Xenopus tropicalis: one gene and its partners. The protein of the gene in region 3 interacts with the protein of the main gene of each other region in a biochemical or structural test. Links are inferred from orthologs where the notes say so. Each region holds a gene or a part of one and is shown on either strand. Other genes may lie near its edges. The genes, in order: sp1, ets1, jun, pin1, batf3, atf2 and atf3.

Evidence for each region.
Region 1: the proteins of jun (region 3) and sp1 form a complex in vitro, tested with the Homo sapiens proteins (2 studies listed by BioGRID). The link is inferred for Xenopus tropicalis from reciprocal best matches to the Homo sapiens genes JUN and SP1.
Region 2: the proteins of jun (region 3) and ets1 form a complex in vitro, tested with the Homo sapiens proteins (2 studies listed by BioGRID). The link is inferred for Xenopus tropicalis from reciprocal best matches to the Homo sapiens genes JUN and ETS1.
Region 4: the proteins of jun (region 3) and pin1 form a complex in vitro, tested with the Homo sapiens proteins (2 studies listed by BioGRID). The link is inferred for Xenopus tropicalis from reciprocal best matches to the Homo sapiens genes JUN and PIN1.
Region 5: the proteins of jun (region 3) and batf3 form a complex in vitro, tested with the Homo sapiens proteins (2 studies listed by BioGRID and IntAct, with this or other methods). The link is inferred for Xenopus tropicalis from reciprocal best matches to the Homo sapiens genes JUN and BATF3.
Region 6: the proteins of jun (region 3) and atf2 form a complex in vitro, tested with the Homo sapiens proteins (4 studies listed by BioGRID and IntAct, with this or other methods). The link is inferred for Xenopus tropicalis from reciprocal best matches to the Homo sapiens genes JUN and ATF2.
Region 7: the proteins of jun (region 3) and atf3 form a complex in vitro, tested with the Homo sapiens proteins (2 studies listed by BioGRID and IntAct, with this or other methods). The link is inferred for Xenopus tropicalis from reciprocal best matches to the Homo sapiens genes JUN and ATF3.

The regions. Positions count from the first base shown.
Region 1 is NC_030678.2:146,984,287-146,988,425, forward strand, and holds the start of sp1 (transcription factor Sp1), read right to left. Parts: upstream 2,801-4,139; 5' UTR 2,752-2,800; coding exon 2,745-2,751; intron 2,438-2,744; exon of another isoform or gene 2,090-2,437; coding exon of another isoform or gene 1,990-2,089; intron 1,663-1,989; coding exon of another isoform or gene 1,660-1,662; coding exon 1,580-1,659; intron 1-1,579. UniProt on the Homo sapiens protein: Transcription factor that can activate or repress transcription in response to physiological and pathological stimuli.
Region 2 is NC_030683.2:72,029,909-72,033,147, reverse strand, and holds part of ets1 (protein C-ets-1), read left to right. Parts: intron 1-2,853; coding exon 2,854-2,972; intron 2,973-3,239. UniProt on the Homo sapiens protein: Transcription factor. Directly controls the expression of cytokine and chemokine genes in a wide variety of different cellular contexts. May control the differentiation, survival and proliferation of lymphoid cells.
Region 3 is NC_030680.2:86,738,570-86,742,508, forward strand, and holds jun (transcription factor AP-1), read left to right. Parts: upstream 1-1,272; 5' UTR 1,273-1,777; coding exon 1,778-2,716; 3' UTR 2,717-3,439; downstream 3,440-3,939. UniProt on the Homo sapiens protein: Transcription factor that recognizes and binds to the AP-1 consensus motif 5'-TGA[GC]TCA-3'.
Region 4 is NC_030679.2:136,780,425-136,784,683, forward strand, and holds the start of pin1 (peptidyl-prolyl cis-trans isomerase NIMA-interacting 1), read right to left. Parts: upstream 2,801-4,259; 5' UTR 2,752-2,800; coding exon 2,694-2,751; exon of another isoform or gene 2,658-2,693; intron 1-2,657. UniProt on the Homo sapiens protein: Peptidyl-prolyl cis/trans isomerase (PPIase) that binds to and isomerizes specific phosphorylated Ser/Thr-Pro (pSer/Thr-Pro) motifs.
Region 5 is NC_030681.2:14,411,603-14,415,752, reverse strand, and holds the start of batf3 (basic leucine zipper transcriptional factor ATF-like 3), read right to left. Parts: upstream 2,801-4,150; coding exon 2,745-2,800; intron 2,176-2,744; coding exon 2,013-2,175; intron 896-2,012; coding exon 707-895; 3' UTR 1-706. UniProt on the Homo sapiens protein: AP-1 family transcription factor that controls the differentiation of CD8(+) thymic conventional dendritic cells in the immune system.
Region 6 is NC_030685.2:64,397,698-64,401,197, reverse strand, and holds part of atf2 (cyclic AMP-dependent transcription factor ATF-2), read left to right. Parts: intron 1-971; coding exon 972-1,086; intron 1,087-3,500. UniProt on the Homo sapiens protein: Transcriptional activator which regulates the transcription of various genes, including those involved in anti-apoptosis, cell growth, and DNA damage response.
Region 7 is NC_030681.2:14,463,323-14,467,493, forward strand, and holds the start of atf3 (cyclic AMP-dependent transcription factor ATF-3), read right to left. Parts: upstream 2,801-4,171; 5' UTR 2,637-2,800; intron 1-2,636.

The DNA of each region.
Region 1 (4,139 bases), on a different chromosome or scaffold from region 3:
CACACAGAAAGATGGTAGAAAGAGTGACCACCTTACAGGAGAAGGCAGGCCAATGCACCATATGCTACGTGTGGCATTAGCCTTAGCTTACCCCAATGTTAGTGAGAGAGGTAATGGTGCAGGTGGGTCATTGCCCAGGCATGTTAGTGTGCATTCCCAGGAAAAACACACAGTATTACTTATTTTACATTAAAATAATAAATATAATGGAAAGTCAATAATGGAAGAAAATTTGTTGTCAAAAAAAAAAAAAACAAACAGCTTTGAATGGGACCTATTACCCTGAATGCATGGACCTAGGTTTAAGGGATTTGAGTAATTTGCATCACTATACAAAACACAAAAGAATTGTTTTGCCCCAGATTTATGCAGCTAAGATACTATCGATTACAAGCTACTGTTTTATTACAGAGAAAAGGGAAATCATTTTTATAAATTAGTATTATTAGCATAATATCACATCGAATTGCTTTCCCCACATCCTGGTGCAGGCTAATAGAGCCCGCACTCTGGTTGGGGGAAACACACACACATATAATATATATATATATGTGTGTGTGTGTGTGCTGCTCCTACGTCACACATTTGCGCACAATGAGTGAGGAGTCTTGCTCATTATGCACATGCACGCTAAATAACATGGCCGCCCGTGGGGGCTGTTTAAAAAAAAAAACCTATTGTTTTCCAGAATGCGGGCTCTAAAGCCTACACCTCTGGTGGCGGGAAGAAACTAAATGGTGATAGGTGCCCTTTAAACTTAGTTCTATGATGGTCTGCAAGCAATTTAGAGCTTTCTGGATAAGGGATTCTATAGCTGTAGCACTCTATTACATATACATGGTTCAGCGTTGGGAAGATATCCAACATCATCAGTTGGGGGCGCCACCTCCTGCGATGGCCTAAGACAGCACAAGCTGCAGAGATAACCATGCCTAGGTGGGTGTTGGTACAAAGACAGTACTACCCACAATGGAATAAACTGGGTGTGTGCTGTAAGTGATATTTTATTGTTGCACAATAGCAAAAATAACACTCAGTGAAATTTAGTGGAGCATTGCCTTTCCAGCCTTTGCTACAAATCTGAGCAGATTTAACCCTAACTGCCATTTACACTCGGCCCCCACCAGCCGAAGCAGCAGATGCAGTTGCTGAATTTAATTAAAAATGTAGCTGCCAATAAGATGCAAGACTGAACGTGAATGTCAATTTAACCCTTCTACGGCTATGTCCTAGGTGCCATTTGCAGTATTAGCAACAGCACAAAGAGTGCCAGCATGTAAACAAACCAGCATGTCAAGGAGACAGCCAGAGAGAGAACAGGAGGGACAGGGCTGGGGGGAAGGGTTTCTGGGGCCTGCCCCAAGTGGGCAGTCAGGAACAGGGGGTGGGAGGTTTGCCAGCCAAAGGGTGGGAGGACAGCAGCCATTCTCAAAGAGAAAGGAGGAAAAAAAAAAAGGCCTCAGCCCCCCTCCCCCATGCTCATCCAGTGTACAGGCAGCCAAGGCGAGAGGGCTGGATAGTTCCCAGGCATGGTCCCTGCCTATCTGTGTATAATGCAATATGGGTGGGTTCCGCTTACCTGCCCCTTCTGGATGTATCCACCTCCTGTCCGGTTTTCGGACTTTATCGTAGGCATGTCATCGGACGTGTGCTCCTGATCTGCTGTCAGCGAAGGGCACAAGCACAGAGAGAGAGTGTGTGAGTGAGGGCAGTGAGTAAACATGCACACACAGGCTTACAACATGGCCGGCCCTACTTCCCTGAGAAACACAAACCCCTCAGCTTAGAAACAGACTGCTGAACTACAACTCTCACAAACCTCTCAATACTGGAAGTGAAGAGACTCACAAACATGTTTCCCATCTATCAGCCTAGATAGCCTTAGCAGCACTGTTGTGGAACTACAACTCCCACAACCCTCTGTAGAGGAGTACGTTCTAGAAGTAAAATGATTTACAAATAAATATAAATGGTCTACATAGGCTTCACCTGCGAGTAATGGCAACTCCAGAGGCAAACTACAACTCCCAGCGGCCCCGTTCAGCAGGTTAATGAAGGGATCTACCGGATGAAGGTCCCTCCCATCCATACGATGTCAGTGAAACTGCCCGAGCTGAGGGCGGATAATGGTTTCAGGGGAACTACAGATACCCCACAGCTACGGATACTGGGAGTGTTTGGGCGCCAGAGGGGCAGATATCCCCAGTGTGAGGCAAGGATTGCTCTGGGCAGGGGGGGCTACAGAAGGAGGGCCGCAGGCTTCACATTATAGGCGAAGGCAACGGGTTCCGGGGAACATTTTAGGGTCACGTATTGCCCTTTCCCTGTGTCACGAAAAGTACCGGCTACCATGCTAGGAGGGGCGGGGGGCAATTTTACAATTCTACCCCACCCACCGAAGGGGGCAGAAAAACAGGGCGGGAGAGGAGGACAGCAGGGAGGGGTTCTACCGCCACAACCACCTCTCCAGTTATAGGGAAAAGTAAAAAGGGGGCGAGGAAGGAGAACGAACGAAGTAGTGAGGGCGGATATGACTTTATTTCTACACCCCCGCCTCCTCCTCCGGTGGTACCGGCCGCTCTCAGCATTCCGCCAGCGAGTCATGGCGCGCAGCAAAAAGCCCACAAAGTGGCCAGGGGGAGCGATCCCTCACACAAGCTGCGTGCGAGCAAGCCAGGAGGGGCTCTGGGATAAGCTTGCGAACCCGCGTTACCTCCCGCCCTTATGCCCACTCTCCTGCTTACCGCTCATGTTGTTTCTGGGGCCGTAGGTACTTCACACAAACCTCGGCTGACGATGGCAACCTAACCTGGCTGCCGCGCGGCGGAGACGGTGAGTAGGCGGGGCTACGGGCGGAGATCGACAGACCGCCTAACCACTCCCGCCGAGGGGCGGCTCCACCCGCCCAATGGGGTGGCGCGGTGGGTGCAGTTAGCTGGAGACTGACAGAGAAGGCTGACCAATTAGAGGTGGAGTGACCCCGCCCAGCCACGGAGGCGGTGTGTGATGGGGGAGGGAGATGAAAGAATGTGGCGGGGGTGGTGGCTCTCTAGTCTGAACCCTTCCCAAGGTTAGAGTGACACTGAAAAGGGCCAATCATAATCGAACGAAGTCCAAGGCGTTTCATTAAGTGACGAATCATACGAGAAAAGCAAGCAATTGAAGAGCTGTGTGAGGAGGGGAAGGGAAATTAAAGTTTGACTGGTCGTTGTAGGGTTTGGGCGCCATTTGCTGGAATTGCAGAATGTCGCTCTTTAATTATTTAGAATAACTGGCCACAGCTATTAAAGTATTCGTTTTTATTCGGCATCAGCCTACGTGCAAATAGGAAGCAAGATGGCAGCAGTCGGAGTTGCGACTGAGTGGCTACGTGACTAAAGGGGCCGCATTATCTGTAATACAGAGAGGGAATGATGGACGGGTCGTGCATAGAAAATAGCAGGTTTAGAATAAATATCAGAGTTACAACAATAAAAAAAAGTGACATAGGTTACATAAAGCCGAGCACAATATATAAGGCTTATTTTCTTTATTGGGCCACTTCTTCCAAATTGATATCAATAATTATTAAGCAGCCAGTCCAGTAAAGCATTGTCAGTCCTATCATTAATAGAAATATATTGCTCAATAAAAAATGAATGCCTTTTCTTGAGAAAACAGTCCTGGCTGTATTTATTAGATTGTAAGGGCTCTGGCACACGGGGAGATTAGTCGCCCGCGACAAAACTCCCTGTTCGCGGGCGACTAATCTCCCCGAGTTGCCTTCCCCTGCAAATCGGCGAAAAAGCCTCGCGAGGCAACTTCGGCGATTTGTGCTAAATCGCGCCGCCGCGTGTGCCATCCCACCGGCGACTTACATTTTCGCCGGTGGGATGGCAGGGGAAGGCAGCTCGGGGAAATTAGTCGCCCGCGAACAGGAAGTTTTGTCGTGGGCGACTAATCTCCCCATGTGCCAGAGCCCTAAAGGTGTAACTGAGTCCATCACCATTAAGCTTCCATTTTATAGTACAGTTTGCTGATGCTTCCATGTAGCTCAATTCCCATATTGCTTGAGGCAAAACGACATAGGGGCACATTTACAAAAGCGTGAACACTCCGAGCGTATTTTCGCCGATTTTTTCGGGCGTCCGCACGACTTT
Region 2 (3,239 bases), on a different chromosome or scaffold from region 3:
TCATATCTTTTCTTTACCATTCATCCTAATCTCTTGTCTCAACCTTCTATAATGTCTTTACTGATCTAAATTATACTTGGATTCTTTCTGCCGTGTATTGGTTCATGACTTGGGTTTGGAGAGTCATCTTTTATGTGTAGACCAGACAACTCTCATGTTGGATATTTCAGGTGGAAATTTTCTTTATGTTAAAGTGATCAGACCCATTCTTATTGTAAGTTGCATTCCCTGTCACCCGGGATTTGTATTAAAGCATCAGTTTTCAGCCTTATAAAAGAACTGCTTTAAAATGACACCCAACCTCCAGTGTTGTAACGAAGAAGTTCACAAAAACTATTTTCCTGTTATCCTCATCATAAACAGAATTCTATTATTATTATTATTAGTAGTAGTAGTATTATTATTAGTATTAATATTATTCTTAACTGTGGTCATTATTCAGCATAAGAGCAAATTATTGTTTTAAGGCAAGTTATTAAAGGGCCAGAACCTTATATAAATAAGTGTTCATTTTTACTGACATGCTGAAGTATCTGTTCGCTGCCAGTTTAGAACTATGCCTGATTGATGGTGATTTATTGCTCTTTGTGTTTAGCTGCAGCCATCTTGATCTTGATGATGTTTACACAGCCCGGTTTGTTCACCAAATGTAACCAAGCTTTTGATTATAGTAATAGGTTAAATATGCAAACAGCAGGTTTCTGTAATTTTCTCTTGGAATTTTCTGTTGGTTTTGGCCCTGTAGAATCCAGGGCATGCCATGAGGTTCCAAGCCTAAACCTATGTAGAGTGATGCAAACACAATGGGTCTGTTTTGGAATGCAGTCGCTTCTAGATATGCAGTGAGCAGTGGTTACAGGGTCTCCATTCCTTGTGTGTACAGAGCACCAATGTGCTAATTGCTTGCTTAACATTAGCAACTCAGCTTAGCAACTCAGCAGTTTTATGTTATACTTTGTGTTAATTGTCACAGGCTATCAGCAACTCAAGGTTAGTAGTTGTGATGATTAAAGACAAAACAGCAGGCTAGAGACAACTCTGGCAATGAAGGAGTTATTATCGCATGCTAAGCTAGTAGATATCTACAAAAAATATTTTCTAACTTAGAGAGAAAAAGTCATCTTGAGCCTGAGAATGTTCCATTCGCCGTACACTCATGGGGCTTGTGGTCATGGCACAGAACAGCTGTGGCCTGAAATCTGGAGCCAAAAGTGTGCACGGGTCACAATGCGCTTAAACTCAAGTGAATATGACATACACTAAGCATTCGGTACTAATGCAATACATTTAACATTGGATGGGTACATATTAGACTCTTTGTCTGTACAACACAGCCAACATGTCTTTTGCTTTTTTTTTTTTTTTTTTCTAGTCGTGCTGTGATAATGTCTGCTTAATAATAAACATTTTTATCTTTCTTCTCAAAGGGCCAGACAGCATTCTAAGATGGACATATAGGAAAATGTGGGACAGAATAGTGTACTGTCTTGAGGTTATTTTTAGGCAAGAGTTCTCTTACCCCTCCCTTGCACCACCAAGTGTCTGAATAGGGAGACATTTTTTCCCAATGAGATTGCCACATTCCTAACATGTGACAGATTTAATCACCCCACTGCTCTTTCTGACATGGCCAGCCTTGCCAAAACAGAGGCTTTATTGTGCACAGGAATAGCATGTGAGTCCCATTGACTGGGTATAGACTTTGAACCCTATTGAGGGCATGTGTCACTGGGATAGAGTGAAGTACAGAAGTGTGCTGTTTTCATTGGTCTTTTATGCATGTCTGTAGGCCTTGGGTAAAAAAAAATGTTCAGTCATGCTTGGGAATCCGTTCTTAGATAAATTATACAAATCCTAGAGCACATAACATGGATATTGCTTGATTATTTGACATAGTTCGTAAAGTAATTGATAGAGAAAAGGTAATTTCACATTTCTTCTAAAGCTCTATTCTATTATACCCCAGCAAGCTCTTATACTCTTATACACTCTTATACAGTGTGCTTGGTTGGGACATTAGCCGGGCCACACTGAGTAATACAGGAACCTCATATTTGCTGGTGAGTCAGTGTTAGTTCATATTTATTAGCAGGCTTATTTTTAGATGGATGTATGGTAAGAGCTGTAAGAAGAAGAGTGGTACACGTGGTTGGGCTCTTGCCTCTATAACATAAAAATTCTGTTGTGATATGGCTTGAGAAAAAGCCTGTCACTGCACCTGCTTTTTTTGTGTGAAAATGTGTGAGGGGGAGAGTTTATCAGTTTAGACATAGGAGGAGGTAGCAAGAGACCATATGAAACCCAAATTTCAGAGATTATCGCACACTCTTTTATATTGAGAAATAATTTGTATCCTCTGAAGTCATGGTATATATATATTACTGTAACAGGAAGAAGTGTGAGGGTTAAAGACAGAACATTGCCCATTCATTGGCTGATGTGACCTAACATGTATGTGTGCCCTTGGTTTGTTTGTGTGCACTGTGAATCATATGTTCCCAGGAGGCAGCACATAGTACTTAAAATTACAGTTTTTCTATTTGATTATCCAGTAACACTTACTACTAGAAAAGTTCATTTTTATGAAAATGTTGTATTTGGATTAAGCTTGCTTAACATATGGGCTTTTTTGTTTTTGTTTTTTTTTTTTAGATTTTTATAGAGACCCTCATTGTTTAGGGGGTATTGTTTTCCATTAAGTTAATTATTTTTATGTGTGTACATCGATTACTGTTGATATTTGAGATTTATCCCCCAAAATGTAACCATACAATTCTGAACTTTTCATTAAGAGGTCTTAGAAAGGGAACAAGAACCAGATTCAGCTATCTTTCATTTCTTATTTCCTTATAGGAAGTGGACCAATCCAGCTGTGGCAGTTTCTCCTGGAGTTACTGACAGACAAATCGTGCCAGTCCTTTATCAGCTGGACAGGGGACGGCTGGGAATTTAAGCTCTCTGATCCAGATGAGGTAGGTTATGGTGACGCAATAAATGCAGATGTTTTCCAGTAGGAAATCAACATTCAAGTCAGACTCGGGGTATGTGCACAAGCCTGCCTGGGATTTATACACCCAATCTACATCAGCTGCTAAATCTTTAGTGCATGCACCTCTATGTTTATGATTGCCCATTCAGGATAATCAGGATATGGTCACCATTTGCCACATGTCTGTATGATGTTTAAAAGCTTTAAAGAGACCCTAAAGAAATAACTTCTATGAATAAATGTATATTTC
Region 3 (3,939 bases):
TATCATGGAAGCTGTAGCTCAGCAGCTGTTAAGAGTGGGTTTAATACTCAAGATCTCTATCAATTTCTAAGGATTTTCTATTCACTTTGGTGATAAACCAAATAGCCTGCCTGCTCTCTACCCATAAAAGCCAGTCTCCGTTCTCATGGATGCAACCTGATCTCCTGTAAACTTTTTAAGCCTCCCCAGCGCTCCCCCTACCTCCTTCACCCTGCTTCCAATCATCCTTTTTTTACTTTCATCAACGCCCACATCATAATCTACACACCCACCCACCAATAAACTCCCTCCCCCACCAAATTAAAAAAAAAAAAAAAAAAAAAAAAAAAAAAAAAAAAACTTTCCCTCACCTTTTCTCCCTGGCTATCCACCCCAGTGCAGAAAGGCATGATCATTAGAATGTAGCACATGCCTACACAACACTGGGACCCTTTTAATAACAATGATGCTATACAGCCTTACATGTTCTCTGTCACTGACACTGGTGTATCTATGCAATGTTGCGATCCTCAAGCTCTTGTTGAACTCCTAGTCACATACAGCCCCACCCCCACACACGGACCCGCAATGGCCGGAGGGCTGCAACTTGGTCTCCCCCGTGTCCTACACAAAGTAAAACAGCGAAGAGAACAATAACTATAAAGCCAGTAAAACTATACCACACTAATAACATTCTACCGAAAATAACCAGTTGTTTCAAAACTACAACTCCCAGCAACCACTACCACATTTTAGTTCGGCAACTAACAAACAACATATTGAAAAACCTGCCATACTGATCGCTTAAACCTGTGGAAATAATCTGTTTCAACTCTGAGTTTTCAGTTTCACCAGCCGACAAACACAGCCCAAGTCCTCCGGTTCCTTATGTGACAGACAACCATTACAACCATATCGCGCTTTGCTAGGAAAGGGATGAGTCTCCTCCGCGGCTTACGACTACCATACAATTGCCTCAAGCCCCTGTCCAGTACCAGGGGGTGAGCGGAACAGCCCTTATGGCGGGAAACCCACGTCAAACTACCATCCCAACTACCAAAGCAAGGAACGGGCACCGCCAACAACAATACGTCAGCCCACAATGCCCAGCGGCAAAGGAGCATTACCTCATCCCATGAGCCTTCGCGAGAGTTAGAATCTTCTAGGGCGGTCGTCATAGCGACCGAGGCTCATTTGGCCTCGCTGGCCCGCCTCCCTTCCCAAGGCTCAACCAATAGCAGGACGTTGGGGTGACATCATGTCTATTTTTAGTGGGTGACCGCTCGCAGATAAGTGTTAGCTGCACGCTGTCCCACAGCCCAGTACAAGTGAGTAGAGCTCACACTGACAGCACTTGTGGCGCTTGGGGAGAAGGAACGTCTAACTTCTCAGTGACTTCTTCCTTGTGTCCGTGTGCCTGACACCTATACTGGGCACACGCACACACCCAGCGCTCGCCATTACATATCTCCGGCGGCGCTTTGGAAACTTTCCCGGGAGTTTATAAGAACTTTTGTGGCGTTCGGAGTACGAGGACCTCTTTGCTGCTAGAGACACAAAGTAAGTCGCATTTATTTCTGTTATGTGCCAGGCTGGGAGCAGTTGTGCTTGAACTCTCACTACGGGACACTGCCAGTTGTAGTTCGGCAGGCGAAGCATAAGTTCCATTTAGAAGAGGGGTGGAGGTGCCATGGGGTTCGGTGTGTCAGCTAACAACCTGTTCGCTCTTCTCTCTAGGCTGGTGCTGGTGTCACACTAACGTAAGGTCCAGTCATCGTCCCTGTCCGGCATCCGTTCTATGACTGCAAGGATGGAACCTACTTTCTACGAAGATGCCCTGAGTGCTGCTTTCGCCCAGCACGATGCTACTCCCTATGGTTACAACAAGGTGCTGAAGCAAAGCATGACCCTGAACCTGTCGGACCCCAGCAGCGCCATCAAACCTCACCTGAGAAACAAGGCAGCTGAACTGCTCACCTCCCCTGATGTTGGGCTTCTCAAGCTCGCCTCCCCGGAGTTGGAGAGGCTTATCATCCAGTCCAGCAATGGCATGATTACCACCACCCCGACCCCCACCCAGTTCCTGTGCCCCAAGAATGTCACAGACGAGCAAGAAGGCTTTGCAGAGGGGTTTGTTAGGGCACTGGCAGAACTCCACCATCAAAACAACTTGCCAAGTGTAACCACTGCCACCCAACCTGCCAGCACGGGACTGACACCTGTATCTACTATTGCTGGAAACACTGGCTTCAACAATAGTCTTCACAACGAGCCCCCTGTGTATGCCAATCTAAGTAACTTTAACCCAAGTACCATCACCACATCATCGCCTTTTAACAGCAACACCATGGGGTATACCGGCCAACATCAGAGTAACCCACCAATACCCGTGCAGCACCCCAGGTTACAGGCTCTGAAAGAGGAACCACAGACTGTACCTGAAATGCCTGGGGAGACTCCTCCACTGTCCCCTATTGACATGGAGTCCCAGGAAAGGATAAAGGCTGAAAGGAAGCGTATGAGGAATAGAATCGCAGCATCTAAATGCAGAAAAAGGAAACTGGAGAGGATTTCCAGGTTGGAAGACAAAGTTAAAAACTTAAAATCCCAGAACTCTGAACTGGCATCCACTGCCAACATGCTTAGAGAGCAAGTAGCCCAGCTCAAACAAAAAGTCATGAATCATGTCAACAGTGGGTGTCAGCTAATGTTAACACAGCAGATGCAAACATTCTGAAAAGGCTTCTTTGGGAAAGAGATGTGAGAATTATTTTGTGGAGGGAAATAGTTTCATGTTGAAACTCCCTGGCTCAAAATGAAAGGCACTGAGACCTGACTGTTCTACGTGCGTGTGCGGGGAGTCCTGACAAGCCTTTAGGTGGAGCCTGTGGCAATGCAACAAGCAGTATCACTTGTCAAGTGCTGTTCCTGCTCTAATGAAACATCAGATACATGTTTAACATTGACCAAGACCTGCATGGACCTAACATTCGATGATCATTCAGTATTAAGAAAAGGTTAAACTGCTAGAGACACTAGATTGCTTCCGTAGTTTTCTTACAAAGGGAGGGTGTGGGAGGGAGGCATACGGGACATTGAAAAGTAAAATTAATGACAAATCTGCCTGCCTTCTACATAACTGTGTATGTGTACATATTTGTTTTTTTTATTATAATATTAAGAAAAACTGAATTATTTCAGTAAAATTGCTTCAAGCATTTGTAAGTTATTTTTATGTTTGGGTTAATAAACCCACTACTTTCTGTAAATAAGAGATATTGAGCACTCTTGAGTTTACCATTTGTAATAAAGTATAATAATTTTCTATGTTTTTGTTTCTAAGGACAATTCCAGACGTTCAATTATATTTAAGATATTAAATAAAAGATGTGGAAATTAGATTTTTTTATTTATATTGATATTTTTTTTTACACTGCAATAAACGTGCATGTTAAACTATCTCCTGTGTATAGTACTTGATATATTGCATGAGTCTATTCAAGGGTATTATATTTTGACAATTATTTGATATGGGTATTGGGCAATATAAAAGTAAAAGCAGAAAAGAACATACTGACCAATATTTTCTTTATATCATAGCACTTGGGGTTATTTATATATGCTATTATAAAGTTCTGGGCTTTTGGCAAGAGTTTGCTGCTGTTATTATATGTTTGAGGGGTTAGGAATGGTTTACAGTATTCTCCAGCCTTATTGGCTAAATAATCATTTCCAAATTGTGCACCACAAATACCAACTGGTTGCCAGCCCTCTTCAATTTTACAAATTGATAAATAGTTGCTTTTCCTAAGTTTATTGAAAAAAGAAAAGTGTAACAAATTGATATAGTAGTAGTAACTAAAGTAGCTACTGATGAGAATATACCAACTAATTTATTAAACTGTAGCATTTTAGAGTCCTTGTTTCTTAAGGTGCTACTGGGAAACACAAGAGGTGTGA
Region 4 (4,259 bases), on a different chromosome or scaffold from region 3:
GACAGCTATATTGATTATAAAGTACAGCAAGAGTATCTAGTACACAGGCAGTAAAGTAAAGCCAAAGTTTGCTATGTCAAAAGAACATTTATTCCCTGCTTACGTCTATACTCACAAGCAGCCATAACTGGGTATAAAAAAAAAAGCAGGAGAATTCATAGCATAGCGTTACTCATACATTAACATATCTGCTCATTTGATCTGAGCCAGATCGGATTGTTCAGATTGACTGGCTTCTGGGCCAATAAAAAGCAGATTCTAAAATGGCCCTATGCAGACCCATTAGTCAAGGACAACATAAACGCACTAATTCAGTTCTCGTCACCATACATGCATTTATGTATAATTTTTTTGTAAATAGTGCTACTTATGAATGCAGCACTGTACATGGGCCAATAAGCTGCAAACGATCTCTCCCTACTATTATCCCCCCACCGCTACTATAGGCACCATCTCTCCCTACTATACCTGCTATCCCACAGCCCCAGTCCCTTCCCAGAGGCTATTATCCCCCCACTGCTACTATAGGCACCATCTCTCCCTACTATACCTGCTATCCCACAGCCCCAGTCCCTTCCCAGAGGCTATTATCCCCCCACTGCTACTATAGGCACCATCTCTCCCTACTATACCTGCTATCCCACAGCCCCAGTCCCTTCCCAGAGGCTATTATCCCCCCCCCCCACTGCTACTATAGGCACCATCTCTCCCTACTATACCTGCTATCCCACAGCCCCTTCCCAGAGGCTATTATCCCCCCACTGCTACTATAGGCACCATCTCTCCCTACTATACCTGCTATCCCACAGCCACAGTCCCTTCCCAGAGGCTATTATCCCCCCACTGCTACTATAAGCACCATCTCTCCCTACTATTCCTGCTATCCCACAGCCCCAGTCCCTTCCCAGAGGCTATTATCCCACTGCTACTATAGGCACCATCTCTCCCTACTATACCTGCTATCCCACAGCCCCAGTCCCTTCCCAGAGGCTCTCTCTCCCTACTATATCTGCTATCCCACAGCCCCAGTCCCTTCCCAGAGGCTATTATCCCCCACTGCTACTATAGGCACCATCTCTCCCTACTATACCTGCTATCCCACAGCCACAGTCCCTTCCCAGAGGCTATTATCCCCCCACTGCTACTATAAGCACCATCTCTCCCTACTATTCCTGCTATCCCACAGCCCCAGTCCCTTCCCAGAGGCTATTATCCCACTGCTACTATAGGCACCATCTCTCCCTACTATACCTGCTATCCCACAGCCACAGTCCCTTCCCAGAGGCTATTATCCCCCCACTGCTACTATAAGCACCATCTCTCCCTACTATTCCTGCTATCCCACAGCCCCAGTCCCTTCCCAGAGGCTATTATCCCACTGCTACTATAGGCACCGTCTCTCCCTACTATACCTGCTATCCCACAGCCCCAGTCCCTTCCCAGAGGCTCTCTCTCCCTACTATACCTGCTATCCCACAGCCCCAGTCCCTTTCCAGAGGCTATTATCCCCCCACTGCTACTATAGGCACCATCTCTCCCTACTATACCTGCTATCCCACAGCCCCAGTCCCTTCCCAGAGGCTCTCTCTCCCTACTATACCTGCTATCCCACAGCCCCAGTCCCTTCCCAGAGGCTCTCTCTCCCTACTATACCTGCTATCCCACAGCCCCAGTCCCTTCCCAGAGGCTATTACCCCCCCCACTGCTACTATAGGCACCATCTCTCCCTACTATACCTGCTATCCCACAGCCCCAGTCCCTTCCCAGAGGCTATTACCCCCCCACTGCTACTATAGGCACCATCTCTCCCTACTATACCTGCTATCCCACAGCCCCAGTCCCTTCCCAGAGGCTATTACCCCCCCACTGCTACTATAGGCACCATCTCTCCCTACTATACCTGCTATCCCACAGCCCCAGTCCCTTCCCAGAGTCTATTATCCCCCCCACTGCTACTATAGGCACCATCTCTCCCTACTATACCTGCTATCCCACAGCCCCAGTCCCTTCCCAGAGGCTATTATCGCCCCACTGCTACTATAGGCACCATCTCTCCCTACTATACCTGCTATCCCACAGCCCCAGTCCCTTCCCAGAGGCTATTACCCCCCACTGCTACTATAGGCACCATCTCTCCCTACTATACCTGCTATCCCACAGCCCCAGTCCCTTCCCAGAGGCTATTATCCCCCCACTGCTACTATAGGCACCATCTCTCCCTACTATACCACGGCCCTTTCCCAGGGGCCACTGTACTAATTTAGGCCCCACTAAGGATCTCTGAAGGGCCTTGCCTGCTTGGCTCCTGACTGAAGACCATTCCCGAGCAGGATACATACAATACATAGCCACAAGGCACCATGTTAATCACAGACACATCAGCATCTAAGCAGGAACAGATCGAACTCTGACACAAATGACACTGAACAGATAGGTGCAGATACTAGGGCACCAGTCATGGCCCCATACAGTAGCAGAAGCAGTCAATGCTTAGCATTTCTTAGTCTGTTTACAGGCGACTAAATACTATAATGCGCAATGCAAAGTGGGAATTGTAGTTCTGCAGCTTTGCAACAGCACCTTTATCAGGACGCTATGCACAGTGCAAGACACAATAAAATAGGAACAGCTACAAAGCAAACCAGCGCTGCACTAACTCTATATAACAACTGTGCCCGCTACACTCCATATACCCGAGCTTCGACTCATGCGCTTCTCCCACCCGGGCGGTAGCTTCTCCTCGTCCGCCATCTTTCCCTCCTGCGTCAGGCCAAGCCCCGCCTACACAAACCACTCCGTCAGCTCGGCGCTTCTCATTGGTTAAGTCCCTGCTAAGCTTTTAGCCATTAAGCTAACTAATCTGCCGACGACGTAGTCAGCCTGAAAACCGAAAGCAAGGGCGGGAAATGATATGCGCCCACTATTGGCTGTAACGGAATAAACGGAGTAATTAATAAAACAAGGGGCGGGGCTGAGAGGTTGTACGCATTGGCAGCAGTATGACGCATGCGCAGAAATGTGTTCGCGTCTCTCTCTATTCTTACGCATTAAAATTGCTCTCACAAGCATGGGTGGCAGGTTAGCGGTTTTTCTGCCAAATTGGGCTACTAATTTAAAGCCCTGGTTTGTTTTTAAATTACAAACCCGCCAAAGTACCGTTTTGGACTAGTTTTTGGAGCCTTGGCGGGTTTGTAGTTTGGAACCTAGCCAGTTTTTTCCCCTAGTGTGCTTGTTCCACTGCATGCTGGGTAATGTAGTTTGTAGCTAACAATTAGCCTACAACTAGGAGTAATATAAAACTACAATACCCAGCTTGCAATTGGGCAGTTTAGCCAGAGGCTCCGTTTTCTATTCCTTTTTGCTCTTTCAGGCTCAACCTGTATGTTCTGCTCCCTGCTCTATAGGGTATGTGATGTGGGGGCAGGTCTGTAGTTATCTTGGGGCTGCTGAGAGTTGTAGTTGAACGCACCCATATTTATAAGTCTGGGGTTAATGCAAGATTCTGAATCTATTTCTGTAGCGACTTCCCAGCTGGACTGGGCACAGAGGGCAGGGAATTATCAGCCATTCCAGTAACTGGGTAGTGATTATATGCTTTAAAAAGGCAGGTTTTCCCATATGTACTTTTATTTTTGTAGAATTTTTTTCATTGCACATTGGGCTATTTTTGGGTTACTTTCAAAGTGGGTTTGGACTAGTATTTCACTGGTTTTAGAACTGACTGGCGATTTGGAAAAATAAATCTGGCAATTTCACATACAACCTTCCCTGGTGGTCTAGTGGTTAGGATTCGGCGCTCTCACCGCCGCGGCCCGGGTTCGATTCCCGGTCAGGGAAAGTGTGTTTTGCTTAATTGTAACAACAGCCCTTTATTTTATTGCTCAATCGTTTTTATAACAGCAGCCATTATTAAAAAAAAGCTTGCCAGCTTTATATATAATATAGAATAAAATAAAGATGATAGTTAGTGATATTTTATTGTGTGACGAGATCATGTATGGCAGCTTTGCATGCTCACTGAAACTGTAGGCGGATTTTTACAAGAGAACTGGGATGATAGTACATTACAGAGGGGCTGTAGTGGTAAATGGAAAGTTTCACAAGTGCCCGGCTAGCTCAGTCGGTAGAGCATGAGACTCTTAATCTCAGGGTCGTGGGTTCGAGCCCCACGTTGGGCGCAACTCTTTTCTTGCTGATCTACTTGGTGGGTATTATTTTACCTACAATTATCAGTTTGTTATAGCACCAAAGTTTAATAT
Region 5 (4,150 bases), on a different chromosome or scaffold from region 3:
GGATTAATTATATTGAGTTAGAAAGTAGGGGAAATAAAATAAACAAATGAATAGGGGGCTAAACATAATTTTTGTTTATTAATTTAACTAAGAAAAATCTATGTTATTTGATGTTTCTTGAGAAAACAGGGAAACTGACGCTGCTCCATGTTTGGTGCATAAATAGTAGATAGAAGTAGATAATTCGATTCCAGTGCACAGATAATCTCCCTGCATAATAGGCTGCTCCTAACAGAACAGTCACAACAAAGGGGAAGGGAGGGGGTTGAATACTGGTAATAACATTCTTGCAAGTAACAAACATAGAGCAGCTTTAGTTTCCTTATTTAGCTTGAGAAATAACAAAAATCATAGATTTCTTCTGATAAAAAAAACAATAATCCAAAAGTATGTTCAGCACAAGCCCTATTCATTGCGCTCATGTAGAACAAGGGGGTGTAGCGCTTGGCCTTCCTTAGACAAAGCAGCAGTAGAAACCAGGAGGTCAAGTTCTCATTTCCAGGAGCCATCTTGGTTTACAGGACATGGAACAGTGATAGGTAAGTTGTCGATTCCATCATATTTGTCTTTTCCCTGCAGTAACAATCACAGAGGTGTTTATGGCGTCATGCACCGGGGGGGGGGGGGGGGGGATTCTGTTGGCTTCAGGATACAGCAGAAAATGTGGCCGTAGGTCAAAGAGGAAATGACATTCACAGCCAGGAAGTCACCGCGGCAAACAGCCAGGAACAGCATCTGTCACTCGGGGCACCGTCACATAGTTCACTGGGCAGTGCAGAAACGGGCATATTTGCTCATGGTCCTTCAGAATTTGGCTAAGATGTTTCAGTTCATCTGTTAGTTTCCCGATTTCCTTCTTCAAGGATGAGTTTTCCTGTTCCAAACATTCATATTCCTGTCAAATGAGAGAAACAATGTTCATTAGAGAGAAAGTGGTCCTTTTAGGATCTGTCACTGCTGATGTATGGGAAACGTCATCTTGTGTATGGGCTACTCCCTCACCTGTATTAAGGCTTAATGGGGAACTATCATGAAAATAAAATGACAGATTACTGGTTGTATGGCTGTAAAGCTGGCCATACATGGGCAGATCTTCACCCGATATCCCCACCTACAGGTGGGCGATATCGGGGAGGCATGTAGGTGAATTCTACACGCGGCAATGGGGCAGTCGGATCGGGGGCCGCATCAACGAACAACCAATTTCAGGCCAGATATCGGTCGGCCAGGCCCCTCGGTTCTGCCACTACACAGGCCGATAAGCTGCCGAATTGGTCCAAGGGACCGATATCGGCAGCTATAATCGGCCCGTGTATGGGGACCTTAAGAGTAGAAGGAGAATACAATTTGTGTTTCCTCCAGTTCCTGTTACCCACAGCAGGTCAGCACTGGGACCCATTTCAATTACACAGAGGTACAAACAGCCCCCAGCAGCCCAATAAATAGTGACTGTGGCACCTTACAGCCCCTCTGGCATTTGCCAGAATCCACAGATTGCCAGTCTGGGCCTGACCCACAGCAACCAGATGGCTCAATTTACTATAAATACAGGTCATATATTGGTTGCTGTGGGTTACTAGAACTAGAGCAAACTTCTAATTGTTATTTTTAGCTTTCCTTTGAATTCAAAGACATCTGTTTCAAAAGCAACAAAAAAATATTTCCAAGTCCCGTCCACCATGTGCTTGTGCTCCACTCTTGCACAGCCCACAAACCTCCTATCCCACTGGAATCTAGATTATATTGGGTCAGTTGGGACCACTGCATCCCGTTATTCCCAGTTTAAATTGGGAGATATTTGCGGTTGTGATTCAAATATACTATGCCTACTTTCAACCAGCCATACCCCATTCCAACCAAACCATATCAATTTCCTAGTAAACCCCTCCACTTAAGGTATGCAAGGAAGAACCATTGCAAAAGCAAGCAACCTGCTCCCCTATAGATGGCTGCTGGACCTGTAGTTCAGCAATATCTAAAAGGATGATGGGTTTCCAACCCTTGTACTGTACCTCATGCAGTTTGTCAGCTTTCTGTGTTTGTTTTTTCCGGCTTCTCTGGGCAGCAACTCTGTTCTTTTCTCTCCTGCGAACCTTCCTGTCGCTGGTATCTGAGCTCTGAAAGAGAGAGAGGAGAGTGTAAAGTGGGTATAGGCAGCATTTATAGGTGCATTTCCTTTATTTGGAACACCATGCCCGCTAAAAAAAGATCTAAACATGAAATAATCCCAACAGGATTGTTTGGCCCCCAAAAAGGGGTAATTATATCTTAGTTGGGATCAAGTACAGGTACTGTTTTATTATTACAGAGAAAAGGGAATCATTTAACCATGAAATAAACCCAATAGGGCTGTTCTGCCCCCAATAAGGGGTAATTATATCTTAGTTGGGATCAAGTACAGGTACTGTTTTATTATTACAGAGAAAAGGGAATCATTTAACCATTAAATAAACCCAATAGGACTGTTCTGCCCCCAATAAGGGGTAATTATATCTTAGTTGGGATCAAGTACAGGTACTGTTTTATTATTACTGAGAAAAATTGAATAAATAAATAAAAATTATTCAATTATAATGGAGTTTATGGGAGATGGTCTTCCCGTAATGTGGAGGTTTTTGGATAATGGGTTTCCGGATAAAAGGCCCCATACATGTATTTCTAGAACTGTGAAAAGTATAAAGCAGTTTGACCAAACACTGCAATCTCTTGGCATTGTCACTGTACCACCCAAACATTGTGACAACCACACAAAGATGCATTTGACCATCAGGATGCCCAGAGCCAAGTCTACAACCTTCATGCCAGGCTTGGGGGAGATGCCAGCTAATTGGATTCTGCACAGACATTCAATGATCCTCTCCTATAGGCAGGTTTCATGTGTAAGTAAAGGGCTGCGACTGCACCCAGTGAGTAAGTGTGAGCTCTGCCGCAAGTGTTTCTGATGAACAAGCCACTTCCTTTTCAGCTCATTCGAGTTTGTTTACTGCTAAGCTCTTGAGCTCTTACTAATGGAGTTCAACCACAACACAGAGGAAAGATTTAATACTCAGTTCTGAAAGTGGGTTGTCTAAGATTCTCTTTTTAGGAATTAAAAAAGGAAATAATTGTTAATTTTGAGCATTTAAAAAGCATAACCAGTCTATAGACCTTATAGGTGAATATTGTATGATTTAGTCAGATGGGTAGGTGGGCAGAAGATCACAGTCTGTCATCATTAGATCTCTCACTAGGGTTGCCAACTGGCCAGTATTTTACCAGTCAGTCAAGCCGACCCTTCCTGCCAAATAGGAAAGAAAAGACAACAGACATAGCAATGTTGGTATCTTGTCCCCAGGAAACATGGCAGCCCTACCCACCATCCAATCAATGGCAGCAGGCCAGATCTTCTTTTTAGATGGTGTGACTGTGGCCCCATGGGAAAGCAAGAGAATCTGCTAAAGTGAAGGAAAACTAAAACCCAACAAAGAATTGACATAGATATGTTACACCTTATGTTGTACCAGTCCAAGGCGGCAAGAACCCTTTAGAAGTTAAGATCTGTGCCTCTGAAGATGCCCCCAGTAATTCCCTGCTATGTCCCAGCACCTGCTCTGGACTGCTGTCATTTACCTCAGCTTAGGGACTAACCAATATACCTTTATACATAATATACAGAATACCACTTGAGTATAAGCCAATCCAAATATAAGCCGAGGTACCTAATTTTACCTAAGAAAACTGGAAAAACTTATTGACTTAGCTACTGCTAAGTTTCAATAATCAAAATAAAAACCAGTAAATTACATTAATTGAGGCATCAGTGGGGTATATGTCTTTAAATATTTATTTAAAAGAAAAACAGTAAACTAGCTCTGTAAGTGTTAAAGAGGGTCAACAAAAACAATATGAGTACTACCCCACTATCATTGCACATTGGCAAACTGGCAGCAGACCCAGTCCCGGAGGAGATGTAAGGGGAAATAAGTATTGCTACAGGGAGCCTAGGCCAGGGCACTGGAGGGTCTGGTTGCGGGGGGCCTAATTTGCACACAAAGGAGAGAGGGTGCTAGTCTAGAGAGACCCATGGCACCCAACTCAAGTATAAGCCGAGGGTGACTTTTTCAGCACATTTTGGGTGCTGAAAAACTAGGTTTATACTCGAGTATATACA
Region 6 (3,500 bases), on a different chromosome or scaffold from region 3:
ATAACTGCTGGGCATGTGATAACTGCTGGGCATGGATAAGACAGGCCATGCTGGTGGAACCCTGGAAGTAAGTTTGGATTTAATAAAGATTGTATGTCAGCCAAGCAACTCATAGAAAGTGGCATAGCTGTCCTGCTTCTTAATACAAAAATAAAAACCTTTAATTTAACCTTCCCCTTAATAAACAGAGCATTTTGGGTGTGAAAAAAGTTTAAAATTCATAACAAAGTGACTGCTCACAGAACTAATTACATTGACTGTGACTGTTTTCATTGACTGTGTTCATGGAAATATGCAAAAATTAATTCTACAAGTCTGTAATTTGTAGGCATGCCTATCATGTATAGCGCACTGAAGTGTGTAACTTAAAAATACTTGCACTTGTTTGCTGTAAAGGGAAAGTATACATTCTCATGGAGAAAAATAAGCTATGGAACAGTTCCTCAGCCAAATTTTGACATATATTTAATTTAACTGTTATTCTGCTTATATATAAAAAAAAAAATTTCTCCATGAAAAGCTGGTAAGATGCCATACTGCAAGTAAATGAGCTCTGTATTTCTGCTGCAGTAACGTCTGAGTTATGCCCTTGCCCTGTAGAGCTTACAATCTAAGTTGACACGTCACCCAGAAATGGCAGGCATGTAGTTTAACTCTAAACTAAGAGCTCTAACACATTTCTGTTTTGGGCATACGCTTTTAATGTTCTAAAATAAACATTCAACAGTACAATAATTTGATATCTTTGATATTTCCTAATGGGTTGCAGTCCAAGGCTCCTGATTGTATTGTAAAAATAGGCTTTCTATGTCCTGGCTGAAACCTAATAATTACCAATGTTGCCAATGTTCCAAGACATAGATCAGTGTTTAAAAGGATAACGTACATTTGATCACTGATTTTGGATGTGCAAAGTCTGTGGTTGCCTTGTTTTTAAGGTTAGCATCCCTGCTTTTTTTTTCTATCCTCAGACCAGTTCCAGCTCCTTTTCCTCTATTGTTACATCTTCCTAATGGACAAACCATGCCTGTTGCTATTCCTGCCTCAATCACAAATTCCAATGTACACATACCTGCTTCAGTCCCAGTAAGTTTGTATGTGTGTGAATACTCCATATTCCTAGTAATGTTATTGTGCTGATCCACCAGTCTTTGCTGTGTGCTGTTTCTTTTCCCTTGTTCATCACACACTAACATTGACCTTTTTTATCCAATTCTTTTATTTTTCCTAAGAGACAATATCTGATTATTTATATTTTTAAGGAAATGTCTTTGTTTTAATTTTAATATGTGAATGCATCAATCTATAGGCATCTTAAGTAAAAATGTGTATTTAACTTAAGGAAAAGCTATTTCTTACAACATTAGTGCTTTTTGTATGTTGTGATAAAGCTGTGCAAAGTGCTATAGTTTTTGGGATGGGGGCAGTTTGTCTTAGTTTTGACAAATGCAGCATGGTAAAGTATAGTCATGTTTTTTTATTTTGGTTTACAACTTTGTTGTACTTAAATCGGGGTCCAGGCCTAAATCCAGCCCTATTTAATTCATTATATTTCAGTTTCTCGAGTCTAAACTTTAATGCCGGCCCATGTAGGCTTCATTGAAATTCCCATGCACAACATTAATGCAATAGTGGCTGGTTTTGGGTTCCCTTAAGAACCTGGCACTCCAAGTGGTTGAAATACTCCCGTGTGCCTTTAGACTAAATGGTTGTGCTGCTGGAGTAGATCACAACAAAATGTTAATTGAAGCTGCGCAAACAAAACAACTGGACTAAATATATTAATTTTAATATTCTCATCTCTTGTGAAAGATAATACATATATAAATGAAGATTGAAAATAATAGTACAGGTATGGGATCTGTTATCTGGAAATGTGTTACCCAGCAAGCTCAAAAATATGGTACAGGTATGGGACCTGTTATCCAGAATGCTCAGGACCTGGGATTTTTCGGATAAGGGATCTTTCTGTAATTTGGATCTCTATAACTTGTCTGCTAAAAACCATTTAAATATTGAATAAACCCAATAGGATTGTTTTGTCTCCAATAAGGGGTCATTACATCTTAGTTGGGATCAAGTATAGATATGGGACCTGTTATCCAGAATGTTTGGGACCTGGGGGGTTCCGGATAAGGGATCTTTCCGTAATTTGGATCTCAATAACTTAAGTCTGCTAAAAATCATTTAAATATTGAATTAACCCACTAGGATTGTTATGCCTCCAATAAGGATAAATTATATCTTAGTTGGGATCAAGTACAAGGCACTGTTTTATTATTACAGAGAAAAAGGAAATCATTTTTAAAAATTAGACTCCATTATAAGCAAATAATTCTATGGGAGATGGCCTTTCTGTTATTCGGAACTTTCTGGATAATGGCATTCCGGATAAGGGATCCCATACCTGTACAATGTTCTGTTTTGTAATTACAAAGAAATGGGAAATCATTTTTAAAACTTAGAATTATTTGCTTATAATGGAGTCTATGGGAGACGGGCTGTCTGTAATTCTGAACTTTCTGGATAACGGGTTTCTGGATAAGGGATCTCATACCTGTACTGCCACTTCTTACAGAGTCCTATTTGAACAAATTGTTCATAGTTTGTGACTGATTTCCCTTTTTTTCTTTAATAATAAAACAGTGTCTTGTACATGGGATGCTCCATAAATCCACGTTGATGGAAAAACCTCTCCTGTTGGTGTTTTTTATGGTTAAATATGTATTAGTAGCATTAAGGTATGTTGCTAAACATTACTGTAAGATCCCTCACACTAGTAACTGTGAAAGGAGAAAGCAAATCTATAGTTAGGGACCAGCTTAGTAAAGGTTGGGTTTTTTTTGTTGCAGAAAAACATCATTTTTTTTTTTTGCTATTTATTATGTGTAAAAACGGCAACAAATCTAAAAGTAAAAATACGTCATCTAAAAGCTGTTGAGGTCAAAGGGAGCTGTCCTAGACAAATTGAAACAGTCTTTCTTTGCTTTGGGGTTTTTTACTCTTTATATGTGCAACAAAATGAAAAATTTGTGTTTTTCACATTTTTTCCACTTTTTTTTGTTCATGGTTTTTAAAAAAGGCTGTATTAATGAATTCATTGGCATTTGTGGTTTTAGAGAAAATGAGTTTGTTCATGGTTTTAAGAACCTCAAAAACCATGAAAATTAGAATGTTGATAGATGATGGGACTCTGCATATATACTCATTTAACTGTGTCCCAGAAAGTCAACCTTAACTTCACATACCTATCAGGGTTATCTACAATTTACCCAGTTTGCTGGGATACAGAACTTGAGTTTAGCATGTAATTAATGCATACTTGGGCCCACAACATGAGAACCTAGCCTTAGGCGTCAGGGAGTGGCCAGTTACCAGCGGTGGGAAAAGCCGACTAGTTAACAACACAGTGGAGAATTCTAACACAGTATTTTGCAGATAGCTGTAGGCACAATTCTACTTTTATTCTGCTGTGCTTACTCCTATAAGAGCATATTACA
Region 7 (4,171 bases), on a different chromosome or scaffold from region 3:
CATTGTAAGCAGCAGTCCTGCCCTGCTTTATGGCTGAGATTCTAGCTATCTGTATAACAGAGCATTCCGTTACAGTGGCACAGATCCTATCTGATCCCCATTGCAAGCAGCAACTAATTAAAGGGGTAGACAAACAACAATCAAAATGTACCTATTATACTATAATATTATATTCTCCTATCTTTATATTATACTTCTTGGAACTGTTGATACATTGGTTGTAACTGTTGGCAATGCAGCTACTAAAGCACAGTAATGTGCTGCCCATGAGAGCCGGTGCTCCAGCTGCCAGATCCTCAGCTCTAACCACAATCCTACAGCTGGAATTCCTGCCGGAACCCTGAGTGTGCTGTTCCTGCTGGAATGTACCGCCACCTTGAGGCCAGTACGTACACAGGACACAGGAGGGAGAAGTGAAAGTATTAGGCAGCAGTTTCATCACCAGGCTGCAACTGAAACCTCCCAGCGCGGGACAAAGGCAGCCCGAGGTTATGTGTGTACTGGTACTGGGTGTGCCGGGCACTGAACTGGGCTGCCTCTCCCACACACACAGCCAACTGGCCCTTCACTTCTTCATACAGAGGGCAAAGCCCAAACTCTCTGCCTGCCGGGATCTCCCTTTGTCTCCAATGTAACAATAATGAGCTTAAGGGAAAAGTTCAACTAAACTGCACTCACAACTACCATCCCAACGGGGCACTCACGGTCATACACATATACTAACCCATTCCTACAGCAGAGAGGCACAGTGAGAGCGAGAGAGACAGATGGAAAGTAAAGAGACTGCAAGAGATACAGGTACCCAGATACAAGAGTGAGAGAAATAAAACAGGCATTCAACTAGATGAACAGCTACACGTGGATATATAGACATGGAGTGATATACAGATTACAGAAGATATATAGATGATGGGACATAGGTAAATGAGAAATATATATGGCTAGATATAGAGATAATAGAGGATATACACCTGAGGATATATATATATATATATATATATATATATATATATATATATATATATATATATGAGATATAGAAATGAAAATATAAAAATGGGATATATAAATGAGACTATATAGAGATACGTGGATAATGGGAGATATATAATGACAGAATAAAGCTGACATGAGATATACAGACAGGATATAAATAATGAGAAATAAATAAAAGATGGGAGCTATACGTATGATATGACAGATATCCAATTAATGAGAGTTATATTAAGATAGACAGATACATAGCAGATACATAAATATATATATATATATAGTTAATGAAACATATATAAAAGATAGAAAATATACAGATAATAAGAGAACTATAGATGATAGTTTTATATATATATATATATATATATATTTATATATAAAACTAACTATCATCTATAGTTCTCTTATTAAAACTATCATCTATAGTTCTCTTATTATCTGTATATTTTCTATCTTTTATATATGTTTCATTAACTATATATATATATATATATAGTTAATGACACATATATAAAAGATAGAAAATATACAGATAATAAGAGATCTATAGATGATGAACTATAATGTGAGATACATTGATGATGTGACAAAATGGGAAATATAGAGATGCTGAGATTGATGATGAGAGATATTTTAATGACAGATATATAGCTGATAAATGACAGTGTACAATATATAGTTAATGATATAAAAATTATAATATAGTGTTAAAAAGAAAAATATAAATAGGATTATATAGATGACAGGAGATATATAGATAAAGATGATATATAAATGAAACATATACTACATATTGGAGATATATAAATGGGAGAAATGGCAGATATATATATATATATGATGGTAGATTTATAAATAAGTAAAGTTATCACACAGCGACAAGTCCCAGGCAATACTGTAATATCCCCTCCAAAGATAAAATTATAAAGTTTCCCCCATGTGTAACACAGGGACCGGTGTGGGGGATAAAATGGGGGGATCAGGGGCCACTGCCCAAACTCAGGCAGCGAATAAGCAAAGAATAAAGGGTAAGTAAGCACAAAGTAAAGCAAAACTATATATATAAATGGGAGAAATGGCAGATATATATATTTATATATATATATATGATGGTAGATTTATAAATAAGTAAAGTTATCACACAGCGATAAGTCCCAGGCAATACTGTTATATCCCCTCCAAAGATAAAATTATACATTTTCCCCCATGTGTAACACAGGGAATAAAATGGGGGGCTCAGGGGCCACTGCCCAAACTCAGGCAGCGAATAAGCAAAGAATAAAGGGAAAGTAAGCAGCCCAGGCACAAAGTAAAGCAAAACTATATATATAAATGGGAGAAATGGCAGATATATATATATATATGATGGTAGATTTATACATAAGGAAAGTTATCCCACAGCTGGAATAAAGGGTAAGTAAGCAGCCCAGGCACAAAGTAAAGCCCCTGTAAGAGCCAATGAGCGAGTCCCGCTCCGGCAGCAGAGTAGGGAAGTTTCCCGGAGTTGGGACCGGGCTGGTTACACAACAAGCTAGAGGAAAGTAGAGGAGTAAGCGCTGCGGCTCAGCCTGCCCGGCGGGGAAGTAGGGACTCAGGAAGAGAGAAAGTTGTACCGTTCGAGGCTCTGCCTCCCCGGTCCTTACCGTGCTCTTTCCGTGGGAAGTGAGGGAGAAGCGTTGCCGCTGGCTGTACTACTCGGCTGCCCGTGTGCCTCCCCCGCTCTGACTGGGAGAAGCTGTGGCAGTGCAGTTGCATCACCCCTTTATATAGCCGCGCACGGAGAGCGGAGGAATGTGGCCCGCCCTGACGTCATTCTATTAATAGCCCAGGCGGTGATGCAAGCGGGGGGACCGGGGAAGTAGTGCGGGAGGGAGGAGCGGAGGGAGGAGCTACACAGACACTGGGGGGAAGCCTCTGGCCATAAGAGGGTCATTATTAACTCCTACACGGCAGCGGTATGAGCCAATGGTGCCCAGGCGGGGACAATGACTGCAGGCTGCTGGCATGTGACGGCGGGAGGAGGATCCCAGCAGGGAAAGAGCAGGAAGAGGGCGCCTTTGGCTTGTTTGGCTGTTTTTATTCCTTGTTACCCCAGCGATTCCCCGCCTGCTGCCTGGAGGCACACATAACAAACACATGGGAGGCGGATGGATTCTGCCCTGCACCGTGCTGTCGGGTCACCTTCCTAATCTGCCCCCCAGCTTCCTCTCCTGATGCCCCCCAGCCTTCCTCTCCTGATGTCCCCCAGCCTTCCTCTCCTGATGTCCCCCAGCCTTCCTCTCCTGATGCCCCCCAGTCTCCCTCTCCTGATGCCCCACAGCCTTCCTCTCCTGATGCCCCCCAGCTTTCCTCTCCTGATGCCCCCCAGCCTTCCTCTCCTGATGCCCCACAGCCTTCCTCTCCTGATGCCCCCCAGCTTTCCTCTCCTGATGCCCCCCAGCCTTTCTCTCCTGATGCCCCACAGCCTTCCTTTCCTGATGTCCCCCAGCCTTCCTCTCCTGATGCCCCCCAGCCTTCTTCTCCTGATGCCCCCCAGCCTTCCTCTCCTGATGCCCCCCAGCCTTCCTCTCCTTATGCCCCCAGCCTTCCTCTCCTGATGCCCCCAGTCTCCCTCTCCTGATGCCCCCCAGCCTTCTTCTCCTGATGCCCCCCAGTCTCCCTCTCCTGATGCCCCACAGCCTTCCTCTCCTGATGCCCCCCAGCCTTCCTCTCCTGATGCCCCCCAGCCTTCCTCTCCTGATGCCCCCCAGTCTCCCTCTCCTGATGCCCCACAGCCTCCCTCTCCTGATGCCCCCCAGCCTTCCTCTCCTGATGCCCCCCAGTCTCCCTCTCCTGATGCCCCCCAGCCTTCCTCTCCTGATGCCCCCCAGCCTTCTTCTCCTGATGCCCCCCAGTCTCCCTCTCCTGATGCCCCCTAGCCTTCCTCTCCTGATGCCCCACAGCCTTCCTCTCCTGATGCCCCCCAGCCTTCTTCTCCTGATGCCCCCCAGCTTTCCTCTCCTGATGCCCCCCAGCCTTTCTCTCCTGATGCCCCCCAGCCTTCCTCTCCTGATGCCCCCCAGCCTTCTTCTCCTGATGCCCCCCAGTCTCCCTCTCCTGATGCCCCCCAGCCTTCCTCTCCTGATGCCCCCCAGCCTTCCTTTCCTGATGCCCCCCAGCCTTCCTCTCCTGATGCCCC